2 linked regions of the Caenorhabditis elegans genome follow. The protein of the gene in region 2 purifies or fractionates together with the protein of the main gene of each other region. This does not show direct contact. Each region holds a gene or a part of one and is shown on either strand. Other genes may lie near its edges. The genes, in order: pcca-1 and T13H5.1.

What was found.
Region 1: the proteins of T13H5.1 (region 2) and pcca-1 fractionate together in Caenorhabditis elegans (co-fractionation; one large-scale study listed by BioGRID). This does not show direct contact.

The regions. Positions count from the first base shown.
Region 1 is NC_003284.9:7,656,980-7,662,903, forward strand, and holds pcca-1 (Propionyl-CoA carboxylase alpha chain, mitochondrial), read right to left. Parts: upstream 4,008-5,924; 5' UTR 4,000-4,007; coding exon 3,923-3,999; intron 3,871-3,922; coding exon 3,776-3,870; intron 3,726-3,775; coding exon 3,526-3,725; intron 2,785-3,525; coding exon 2,134-2,784; intron 2,087-2,133; coding exon 1,799-2,086; intron 1,744-1,798; coding exon 1,039-1,743; intron 985-1,038; coding exon 826-984; 3' UTR 533-825; downstream 1-532. Other genes in the region: dhs-29 (NADP-retinol dehydrogenase), read right to left, coding at 5,017-5,119, 5,162-5,334, 5,427-5,595. UniProt on the Caenorhabditis elegans protein: This is one of the 2 subunits of the biotin-dependent propionyl-CoA carboxylase (PCC), a mitochondrial enzyme involved in the catabolism of odd chain fatty acids, branched-chain amino acids isoleucine, threonine, methionine, and valine and other metabolites.
Region 2 is NC_003280.10:8,505,945-8,510,824, reverse strand, and holds the start of T13H5.1 (Receptor-type tyrosine-protein phosphatase kappa), read left to right. Parts: upstream 1-1,769; 5' UTR 1,770-1,859; coding exon 1,860-1,866; intron 1,867-1,958; coding exon 1,959-2,057; intron 2,058-3,337; coding exon 3,338-3,450; intron 3,451-3,496; coding exon 3,497-3,616; intron 3,617-3,709; coding exon 3,710-3,769; intron 3,770-4,174; coding exon 4,175-4,248; intron 4,249-4,292; coding exon 4,293-4,339; intron 4,340-4,880.

The sequences.
Region 1 (5,924 bases), on a different chromosome or scaffold from region 2:
GTGCTACAAGTAAGTTTTATTAAAATATTGACATTATTTATTTTCTCAACTAGAAGTTAACAGAATTTAACAATATCAGTGTGACACTACTCACACGAAACCAAAAAACGTGAGTTAAAATGAGATTGAAAAGAACAGAAAACGGCAAAAAAAACTGGAAGAAAAATTCTTCTTTTTCTTCTTCCCATCATTTTCTGTTTCATCTTCTCGTCTCAACTCGTCTTTTTGTCAATTTTCTTTCAGAATAATCAATTGGCACTGCTATTCAATATTTTGAAATTGAGATACATGAAAGAAGAACATAAAAAAGAGAAATCTGAAATTTTTAAAACAGATTTGCAAACTGACAAGTTTTTTCACAACGCTTATTTCCGAGCTTCAATTATGGACTATGGTAAAATGTTTAGTTTACACAAGCTATTTCACAAAAAATAGAAAATTTAATCAACAAAACATCTGCACTTATGTTATGTAGAAACAGAATAGATATATAATTTTCTAATTGAAAAGTTCAAAAAATGAGCAAATGCTTTTTTTTCTTCATATAACAACCTTTTTGCAATGCCTTCTACAATATTTATTCACTACATAATACTTGGGGCAACAAAACAGGGTGGTGGCTGAGAAATACGTCCGTGATGATTGGAATACAACAGGTGAGGGTAATGGCATCAAAAATAAAATATAAATATGGCTTGAAATTTGAGAAACTGCGAATGAAATTATCAATCTCCATACCAGATAGTGGCGGCTTTGAATTGTACAAAATTAGGAAAAAAACGGTAATTAAAACAACAAAAAAAATTCAGGTTCAGTGAGAATAATCTACTCGAGCTCAACGAGCACCTCTCCCTCGTCGACTGTGGCTCCAACCTTCACATTGACGGCCTTGACGCGTCCGGTCTTTCCAGCATGAAGACTGTTCTGCATCTTCATAGCCTCCATGACAACTAACTCTTGTCCCTCGGAAACCATATCTCCTGGCTGTAAATTGAATCAGTTTTAGCACATCTAATGGTAGTGATAAAATAATGTTACCTTAACGTTGACGTTCTTGATTGCTCCTGGCATTGGTGAGAGCACAACTGTGGACAAGTCAACCTTGGCCTTCTCCTTCATGTACTGCAAGTACTTGACGGCCTGCTCTGGAAGCACCTTGACCTTGAATGGAGTTCCCTTGTAAAGAACGGTGATCTCTCCGGCGCGCTTGCCAACAATTTGGGTGGTGATGTGCTCTCCATCGACTTCAATTGAGTTGACTGGATGAGACAAGTTGAGATCTCCACTGATAGTCACAGTCTTTCCACCAATACGAACTTGGGCCTTGTTGGCGCTTCCTTCGACAAATTCGACTTCAACAGCGTGCTCGGTTGGCCTCTCACCCTCCTTCACTGGCAGAGAAGACACGAACTTGTAGGTCTTCGAGAAGGAAGCCACATGAGTGCTACGTTGTTTGTTCTGGTTCAAGAATTGATTGGCACGAGCAAGTTTACGAGCGTTGAGAGCCGAGGCAAAGGCAATGACAACGTCTTGCTCTTTTGGTGAGAGGCTGGTTCCCTGGAAGCCTTCTGGGTACACTTCTGGAAGATATTTGGTGGTAATGTCTCCAGTACGGAATCTCTTCTCTTGGACAATATCACGAAGAAGTGGAATGTTGTGAGTGACTCCACGAATGACGTAGTTGTCGAGAGCCTCTTGCATGCGGTTCAGAGCCTGTTCACGGTTGTCTCCGTGCGTAACGAGCTGAAATTACAAAGTAAGTCACTTGAAATTATCTAAATGCTAATTTATCCTTTACCTTGCAGATAAGTGGATCGTAGTAGATAGAGATTTCCGATCCCTCACGGATTCCAGAGTCGCAACGAACTCCGTCGACGTGTTTTGGCTCAACATATCTGGAGAGACGTCCGACTGATGGAAGACCGAATCCCTTGTATGGATCCTCGGCGTAGACACGAGACTCGAAAGCCCATCCGTTGAGTGGCACTTGCTCTTGGGTGATTGGAAGTGGGTGACCGTAGGAAACGCGAAGCATCTGTTGGACAATATCGATTCCAGTGATGCACTCGGTAATTGGATGCTCGACCTGTGAGTATTTAAAAATTAAACATTTAGGCCATACTGAGATATTACCTGAAGACGAGTGTTCATCTCCAAGAAGTAGAAGTTTCTCTGAGAATCAACGAGGAATTCGACGGTTCCAGCAGAGTCATAACCGACAGCCTTGGCGAGCTGAACGGCCTGTTCTCCCATTTTGCGTCTCATCTCTGGTGGCACAAAGCTGCTTGGAGCCTCTTCGATAACCTTCTGGTTTCTTCTCTGAATGGAGCATTCACGCTCGTTGAGCCACAAAGCGTTTCCATGCTTGTCGCAGAGCACCTGCATCTCAATGTGCCGTGGGTTGTCAATGAACTTCTCAACGAGCATTCGATCATCTCCGAAAGAAGAAGCTGCTTCTTGCTTGGACAAACGGTATCCTTCACGAGCTTGCTTGTCGTTCCAGGCAACTCGCATTCCTTTTCCACCACCACCGGCAGAAGCCTTGATCATGACTGGGTATCCAATGTCGCGGGAGACTTTCACGCACATATCCTCATCAGCAATTTCTCCGTCATATCCTGGAATCATGCTGACACGGGCTGCGGTAGCGATTTTCTTTGAATGAATCTTGTCTCCCATATCAAGAATAGCCTTAGAGTTTGGTCCGATGAACTTGGCTCCAGCCTTCTCAAGCTCGGCGGCAAACTTGGTGTTCTCGGAAAGGAATCCATATCCTGGATGAACCTGCAAATATATGTTTTCAACGTTTTTAGCAGTTCTGTTTGAAAAACATAACAGAAGACACTTGCAATCTATCTCTCGTCATTTGACTTTGACTATTTGAAAATGAAACACGCGAGATGCTAGAGACTGGAAAGAGACCACTTGGTCACTTGTCACAGAATTTTTGTTTTGTTGTGTTTCGTAGTGAAAGTAGGTGAATATCACGTGCATATTACAAGTAACTGGTTTCTAATATATTACGGTAAATCTTAAGCTGCTACACAGCCAAAAGCTCTCGCTCGGGTTGTCAAACTGTTTGACCCTAGCTTGTCCTCTGAAAAATGCGGTAATTCGTGCTTTTCATAATTTGACCTCACCACAGTTTTCAACAGGCCATAAGAGGGAACTCTAGAGCTTCATCACTTCAAACCCTCATATCTCAGCCAGGTGATATGAGCATGAAAAAATTGAGCATTATCAAAATGTAGGGAATGTTTTATTTCACATTTTTTCAGTCAGCAACTTTTTTAAGCTATTCTCTCCGTTTGAAGTTAAGCGCGAACGCTCTGACTTCTTGAACAGTAGTAGTTGATTTGGAGCGGTGTTCTGAACTTTTGCAAAAACTCTATTCTCTGTCGGATGTCTGGGTAATATGTTTGTGCTACTGTGCATGTAGATTCATGCCACAGAATTTACATTCTCCTCTGATATTTGATTTTTGCGGTTTATCCTTCCATTACATAGACACGTTAGAATTCTTACCGCTTGAGCACCGGTGTCCTCGACAGCTTGCAAGATGCGGTCAGCACGTAGGTAGGATTTGGCAGTTGGAGCTTCTCCAACACATACAGCCTCATCGGCCATCTTTACGTGAAGCGAGTTGCTGTCGACATCTGAGTGAACGGCCACTGTCTTGATTCCCATAGCTCTGGCAGTTTTGATCACGCGACACGCAATCTCTCCTGTAAAATAGACGATTAAATCTAAGATTCTTTTAGATGCTTGAGATTACCTCTATTGGCAATCAAAATCTTGTCGAACTTTGGCTCATTGTAATCGATTCCTACAGTAGTGTAAATCTCCTTTCCCTCACGTTCATCAAGTGGTCTGAAATTGAACCTATTGATCTCAAAACCGAATACAACTTTCAGAAACTTACACTCCTGGTCTGGCAACAGCAGCAGTTGCCAATCCACGATTGGCCACAGCGCGGATACTGGATGCAGCACGGAGCATGGTTCAACCTAAAAACAATGATTTTCATGATAAAATGAACAACGACATCAGCAGTTCACAAAAGAAAAAAGTAAGATGATGGAGAAAAACAGTTTCGTGTATAACTTCGATGGAGAAAGATAAGGACGACCGATTTGATTTGGTCAGTTAAGTGATAAACAGCGATGCCTTGAAAACTCTCTTTATATTGATTATGAAGGAAAACTTCGACTAGTAGAAAAAATAAGAAAAACATGCAGAAATGGCAACTGAGCAACGAAGTAAATAGCCTGGCCAGAAAAGAGAAAAGCAAGAAGTGCGGTGCCCTTGTCCCGCAACAAGATTTTCACAAAAGTTGTCTATCTCTCTTTTCTGATGGACCCAAAGCGCAGTTGCCCCGCTCTCTCTCTTTGCCCATTTCTTGCGATTTTGCACGTATTCGTCCTCTGAACACACACACGCAGAGAAACCGAGAAAATCACCGGGATAGGTTGAGAGTTGGAAAGACGACCTCACAATGTTACAATGAAGAACTTCGAATATAATTCATAGTCCAGTCTGCACGTTTTCTATAATTTTTGAACCGAGAGTCCTACAAAAACTAATAATTTTACAAAAAACGTGTATGCGTGAAACGGAAAATCTAAAGACTCACACAGTAAGTACACTCAATACACAAAAAAAAACGGCAAAATCACCAAAAACAGGGAAGAAAAAAGCCGACCTTCTCTGGCAACAGCGAAGGCAAGAATGACCTGCTCATTGACCACTACATGATCAATAAAACAACAAAAAACAGTCCAATAATGCGCGGGGTTGTCCAAGATATCTCACACAGCAACCTCAACGGAGCGCGTTTGCAGTGATCTTCTCTGCGTCTTTGCACACACTGGCCTTTCTCTCGACATGTTGTTTATTTGAGAATGTTTCGTTGAGTTTCTTCATTTTATTTGATAATAAATGGTCGTTCATTGCATTGGCAAAAAAAAACAAAATTAATACATTTTAGGAACTATCAGACACATTTTCAACTACTAGTCAATTATTCTTCCTCTGCTTGGCTTCGTATCGACTGAGAATAGAGAGTGACGGGAAACCAAGAATAAACGTTTGGACAACCCATTTTGCGGTAGAAGCAAAACTGAAAATACAATTTGTTATAAAATCAACTGAAAAAGTTCACCTGATATTGGCTTTATGGCAGAGATAAAGAGCGTAAAGAGCTTCACCGGCGTGTGCTACAAGGGCGAAAAGGTTGGTTAAAAGAGCAACAAATGGATACTCAGTTCCAATCTTATGGACGAGAGATCCAATTAATGGAATATTAAGTGCTGCTGCTGGATGGGCGTAAGAAATCTAAAAATCAAAGATATAGATCGAAGTGGAAGCTTTGAAATATCTATTTTTATCAAACATAGTTTTTTTTCACTTGAAACCTTAAAACTTACGTAGTTGATAGCCAGAGCTGGAACAATGAGGAGCCACCAGAAGAGTTGTGGAGTTTTGTAATAGTCCGACATTTCAATAAGTGTCAGTTTGCAAAATGATGGATCTGAAGCGGAATACTTAACACCCAAATAATTACGAAGCGACCGGCACACTTGAAGAGAGCAGAAACTGAAATAAAAAATTAGATTTTATCATGTTATCATTAGTTGGCTATATTCTACATAGTGTACGAGAATCAAAAAGTAAGTGGAGATGAATAGTTGGTTTCTTTTTTTTTTGATTCTCTCAAACGATAGAAGAAGGGGTGTCTTCGTGTAATAGAGGAGATACTATCTGAATCAATAAGGACACCAATGGTGACCTCAATAATAGAGCGTGTAAAGACAAACTAGACGCAGACAGAAAAACAATTCGGGCAGCTCTTTTTGCGAATACGAAAAGTTGTACAGTTCTCAAAAAAATAATAATAAGACGCGAAAACAGGGCATTGATTTTTA
Region 2 (4,880 bases):
TGAATTCCCAATTTCAAGCATGAACCTCTTCAATGTCGCAACATATTTGATCAATTTTGGAATAAATTTTAATATTCCGATTTGTTTCAAATTTCTCAAATTGTCTTGAAGCTTATTCATCACATTTTCTCAAAGTTTGTTCCTCAAAACATTTTCATCATTTGATGAGAACGGGAACACCACTAAATGTCCTTCTCTCTGTGTTGCTCTCGTTCCCTTGCAGGAGCTCCGCCGTTTGTCTCATCATGTCGTTAACATTTGAAAAACAGAGACAAGAAAAACACAACAGAGATCCTCTTTTTCTTTATTTCTTTAAGATTTTCCTATTCGTCGGTTTTACGTTCTTCTCGTGTCTGTCTTTTTAACCGCAGACCGGCATAAAACTAAACGATATCTCGAGTTACCTATCGAGAGCAGTCTATGCTCTTTTCATTATTAAAGAGATATAGACACCTCTGTCATTTTGTGACTCACTTCTTTTTTTCAAAATCTTATACAGTTCAATACATCATTCATCATCTACAAAGGGCTAAAACAATTTCATAATAAATTAGTAACTGGTAGGGTACGGTAGTTTACAACAGAAACAGTTAAAGGCTGAGAAAATAAATTTGAGTAATAGCTCTATTGGAATTAAAATGGCCTCAATTTTGTAATGAGACGTGTCAGAAATTACTAAACGTTTTTTAATGGTGTGTCAAAGTAAAAAAAAATTCGGATGAAAGTAAATCAATTTTTGGCCACAATAACAAGCTTACAAAATTACTTACTTCAGCGCAATTGCATGAAATTGCTAACTCTATAACTTTTTGTGCCATTTTTTATTTCAGTCAAGTTAGCTATTCCATCTACAGTACTATGACGTCTTCAACATATGCAAAGTGGTTTCCAAAGTTTGTTCACATTTTGCTTGCCATTGTCTAGTTTCCCTTGAGCCATTTCATTGTTGACTATTCATCAGCAAAACACCGAATTTTCAATGAACTTCATTTTTCGTTTAACCCGTTTTTTGCATTTTTCTCGGACTATGAGTGAGTTATGTGTTCCTGAAAAATTGTAAATTCACGCCCGAGTGGAAAACTTTTTTGTCCCAAACTTTTTTTCCGTTTACAACCAGAATTTTTACCAACCTATTGAAATTTAACATCTTGAAAACATTACATAAAAACAGCATTGATTAAATTTTCAAATGCTGCACCTTTTTTTCTTTTTTAAATTTTGAACTGATATAAAACAACCAACCGGAAACCTGCTCGGGACATCACAAGTGCCGTCTTATGCTTCTTCATCTTTCATCAAGAAAACTCCATTAATTTTTAAATTTTTTCTGGGACTCGTGATGGTCTTTTCTCTGCACTTGATGCTCCTTTTTAGATGCCAACATTTGAATGAAAAAGATCACATACTGAAAAATCCATGTTGATACTTTCAAATTTCTTTTCCCATTTGCTTTTTTATTAAGGAATTTTGCTTCCTTGCTTATAATATTCTTAAATAATATTCTTCATTTCTAATCTGATTTATTTTATCAGTGACGTTTTGTTTTTTTTCAGTTTTCCGTTCCAATATCATTTTCCCTCCCAACAATGCTTCAACTCATTTCATAAATTACTCATCTCATAAACTCATCTCATAATGTCTCTAATTCTCTTCAACTCTCACACTCTCTCTTCTTTTTCTCACTATTGGATCACCGGGCCCCCTTGAACCTCAAAATATGACTGGATTGACAAGTCAAGCAAAAACCACAACAAAATCACTGATCTATTTTTGCAGATAAGATTTTTGCTGAACTCGAAGAAATCTTCATGCTTCTGGTTCATATTTATTATTGAGTTTGTTTTTGTAGAAAGCTCGAAATGATTGGTAGGTCAACTTTATCATAAAATGCAAAAATAGTCTTTTGTAAATCACACTAAAATGTTTTCAACCAGTTAAAGTAATTCGGTGTTTTTCAGAATCAAACAGCACAAGCAAATTTTCTTCATTTTTTCGACGAAAGCCAAAGGATGTAAAGTTGGATATGAATGGAAATGGTCTTGTTAGTCCTCATGATGGTAAGCCATTTTTATTTGCTCATCTGGATCCAGAATGTCTATGTTGTAATACCTGTCATAAAACGTTTTTGGTAAATGTTTAACGTGCCTATTATTCTCTAAGTTATATTCTGATTTTCTGATTATTAAAGGGATAGTTAATTGAAACATTTAAATTATCCTACCTTGATAAATTTATTTCTCGATTTCTTTTTCTGCTGTTGTTTTCATTTTTGTCTTAAATTTCACACTTCCATCAATAATCTTCCTCTGCTTCGGACATTTGTGTGCTCTTTTGTTCTACTTCAAATATTTTAAGGGTCCTTCATAATTTTCTATTATTTCTGAAGAAAGTGCTTCAAGTTTCCGCATTCTTCCAATTTTTCCAATTGTTCTCAATTTTACATTGTTCCACTCCACTTTTTTTCAATTTAATCAATATTTCTACCTTTTCCAAATATCAATTGTAACTCTAAGTCAGTTTGTCCGATTCTCACCCCTTCTCTGATCATAGTTCTTATTTTTCTCTTCGACTCTCTCAATCCTACACTATTTTCTGGAAAATTTCAAGTGGGGGTGCCGTCCCCAAAAAGCCGGCGAAATCGTCCTCATAATATTTGTGTTGCTCTTCGCTCCGTCGGCTCACCCAGGGGCTTCTGCTCCGAAAGCACTGTATATCTTCCACAACGTTTTTTTGAATGCCTTTCTGCTGACACTGGGGTTAGAGTGTTTTTATAGTTGCAAGTCAAGGGGGGAATTCCTTTGAAGTAGACAGTCTACCCCCAATTTCACAGTTCACTTATTTTCTTCATTTTCAATACAATTTTTAAATTTGATATTGGCTTTTAAAGTTTACGTACCTCAATGATTTTCTCAAAACCACACCCTTTGACTTTTCGCAACTTTTTTGTCAAGTGTAACACAGTTTTGTGGGTTTTTCTTCCAAGAGTTGACACTCTAAAAATTGTAACGTTTTGTTTTTCAGTAACTGCTTTTCTTTTATTTTTTGTATCGAATTTTTTTGGACATTTAAATAATTTTACGATAATATTTACTTACTTAGTTAGCATTCTTGAGCTTGAAATGAACTCACCTACTGCATTGTTTAAAAATAACAAGACTTTCATATTTTTCATGACTGTACATATATTTTTATAGATTAACACAATTATGCATCAGTAAGTTATAATTTCTAACTAATCATATGCATATGCTAATGTTTGGTACATTTTGAAAAATTCCAATATATGTAATACTTCCAAATTTTAGGCATTTATTTTTTAAAAGAATTATTGTTACAGAACACCAGGACGAGCTCGAAGATCCAATGGCATCTGTATCGATTCGTGTGCGAAACGAAGAAGGTGACGATTTTGTTGTCTCTCCAAGTGACGTTGTTGATAATATCAATGAGGTTAGTTATACTTTCGAAATTATACAAATACATTTTTAAACTTCAGATAAATTCTCGGCGGAGCAGTCGTCGAGACTCTACACCTGCTTCGTCAATCCGACGAAGTCGTCCCTCATCATCTGCATATTTCAATGAGAATGGGGAACCAATTGAAGGAATTAATAGAGTGAGTTGATGGTTTACCTGATTTAAATTATCAAAGTTTAATTAAAATGTTTATTTTGAAATACTCATTCTTTACATAAAAATATTAATTTAGCCACCAAGAAAATTTAAAAGTATGGACCACATCATGATGAGATTATTCAAACCGTCTAAGGTATCGTAAGTAGATTATTGATGTTCATGTTCTCAATTATTAAAACTGGCTTTTGTGCTCACAATTCAACAATCAATCATCGTTTCTTGTTACATTGTATTTATGTCTGTACGTCAGTTTTCTCTCGGTCTCATTTACTGATTACTGATGAGTGACGTTTTTGTCTGCGTCTAAAGCTGATTGTCTTTTGGTGTCTCTAACAAACCTCGTTTTTTAAAAAATTAATTGACAATTGAAAAAAAGAACCCTTTTTAGAAATATGAAAATTATTTACAGTACAATGTTTTTCAGTGTTAAAATATTTTTTTTAAATGTGAGCTGGACTTTGTGTTGTTTATAAATTGTCCAGATTAAAACTAATATTAAAATTTTCTTGAATCCATTTTTGAAATCATATCATTTAAGGCAAGGAAATCAAAAAGTGTTCGAGATGCCGAGCCGGGATTACGTTCCATGCTCTATGGATTGTCCCAAAAACAGTGAGTTTGCAAATTAAAAATCGTATGCATAAGGAACTTTTCAGAGAGAAGGAGGAGGCGATTGCGAAAAAGCTGGCAAAAAAGATGATAAGTGAGTTTACATTGAAAGTTAAAGTAGGACAGTAGGATAGAGGAATGTAGGAACGTTTCGAATAGTTTGAAGTACACTTGCAACATGGTGTACAAACAAGAGATCAAGAAAATGTCAAGGTTCACGTAGATCAAATATGTCACATATATAGGGGAAAAAATTAAAAATGAACAGTTGAACTTTGAATAGAGTTAATGAGTTGTTGATGGTTTTAATCAATTGTTAAAACGACTGTGGTATGTTAGTAAGTCCGAGAATAAAGAACATCCTAAAATTAAAAAAAAAAACATCAACAAAATAATTTTAAGCATTCATGTAATGGGGTTTGAAATAATCTTTACAGTCAATGTTTACAGGTGGGAACTTCGCCGCGTACCCCCCGTTTTTCATAACCTATTGTCACTCAAAAAATTAAAGAAAGCGATGAGGGGTTCCCGTAACAGACAGTCCGAAAATCAATAATAACGAAAAATCCCATAAACTCCCAATGGTTGTTTCAATGAACATATCAATATTGATGGGGTTTCAAAGTTAAAGTTAA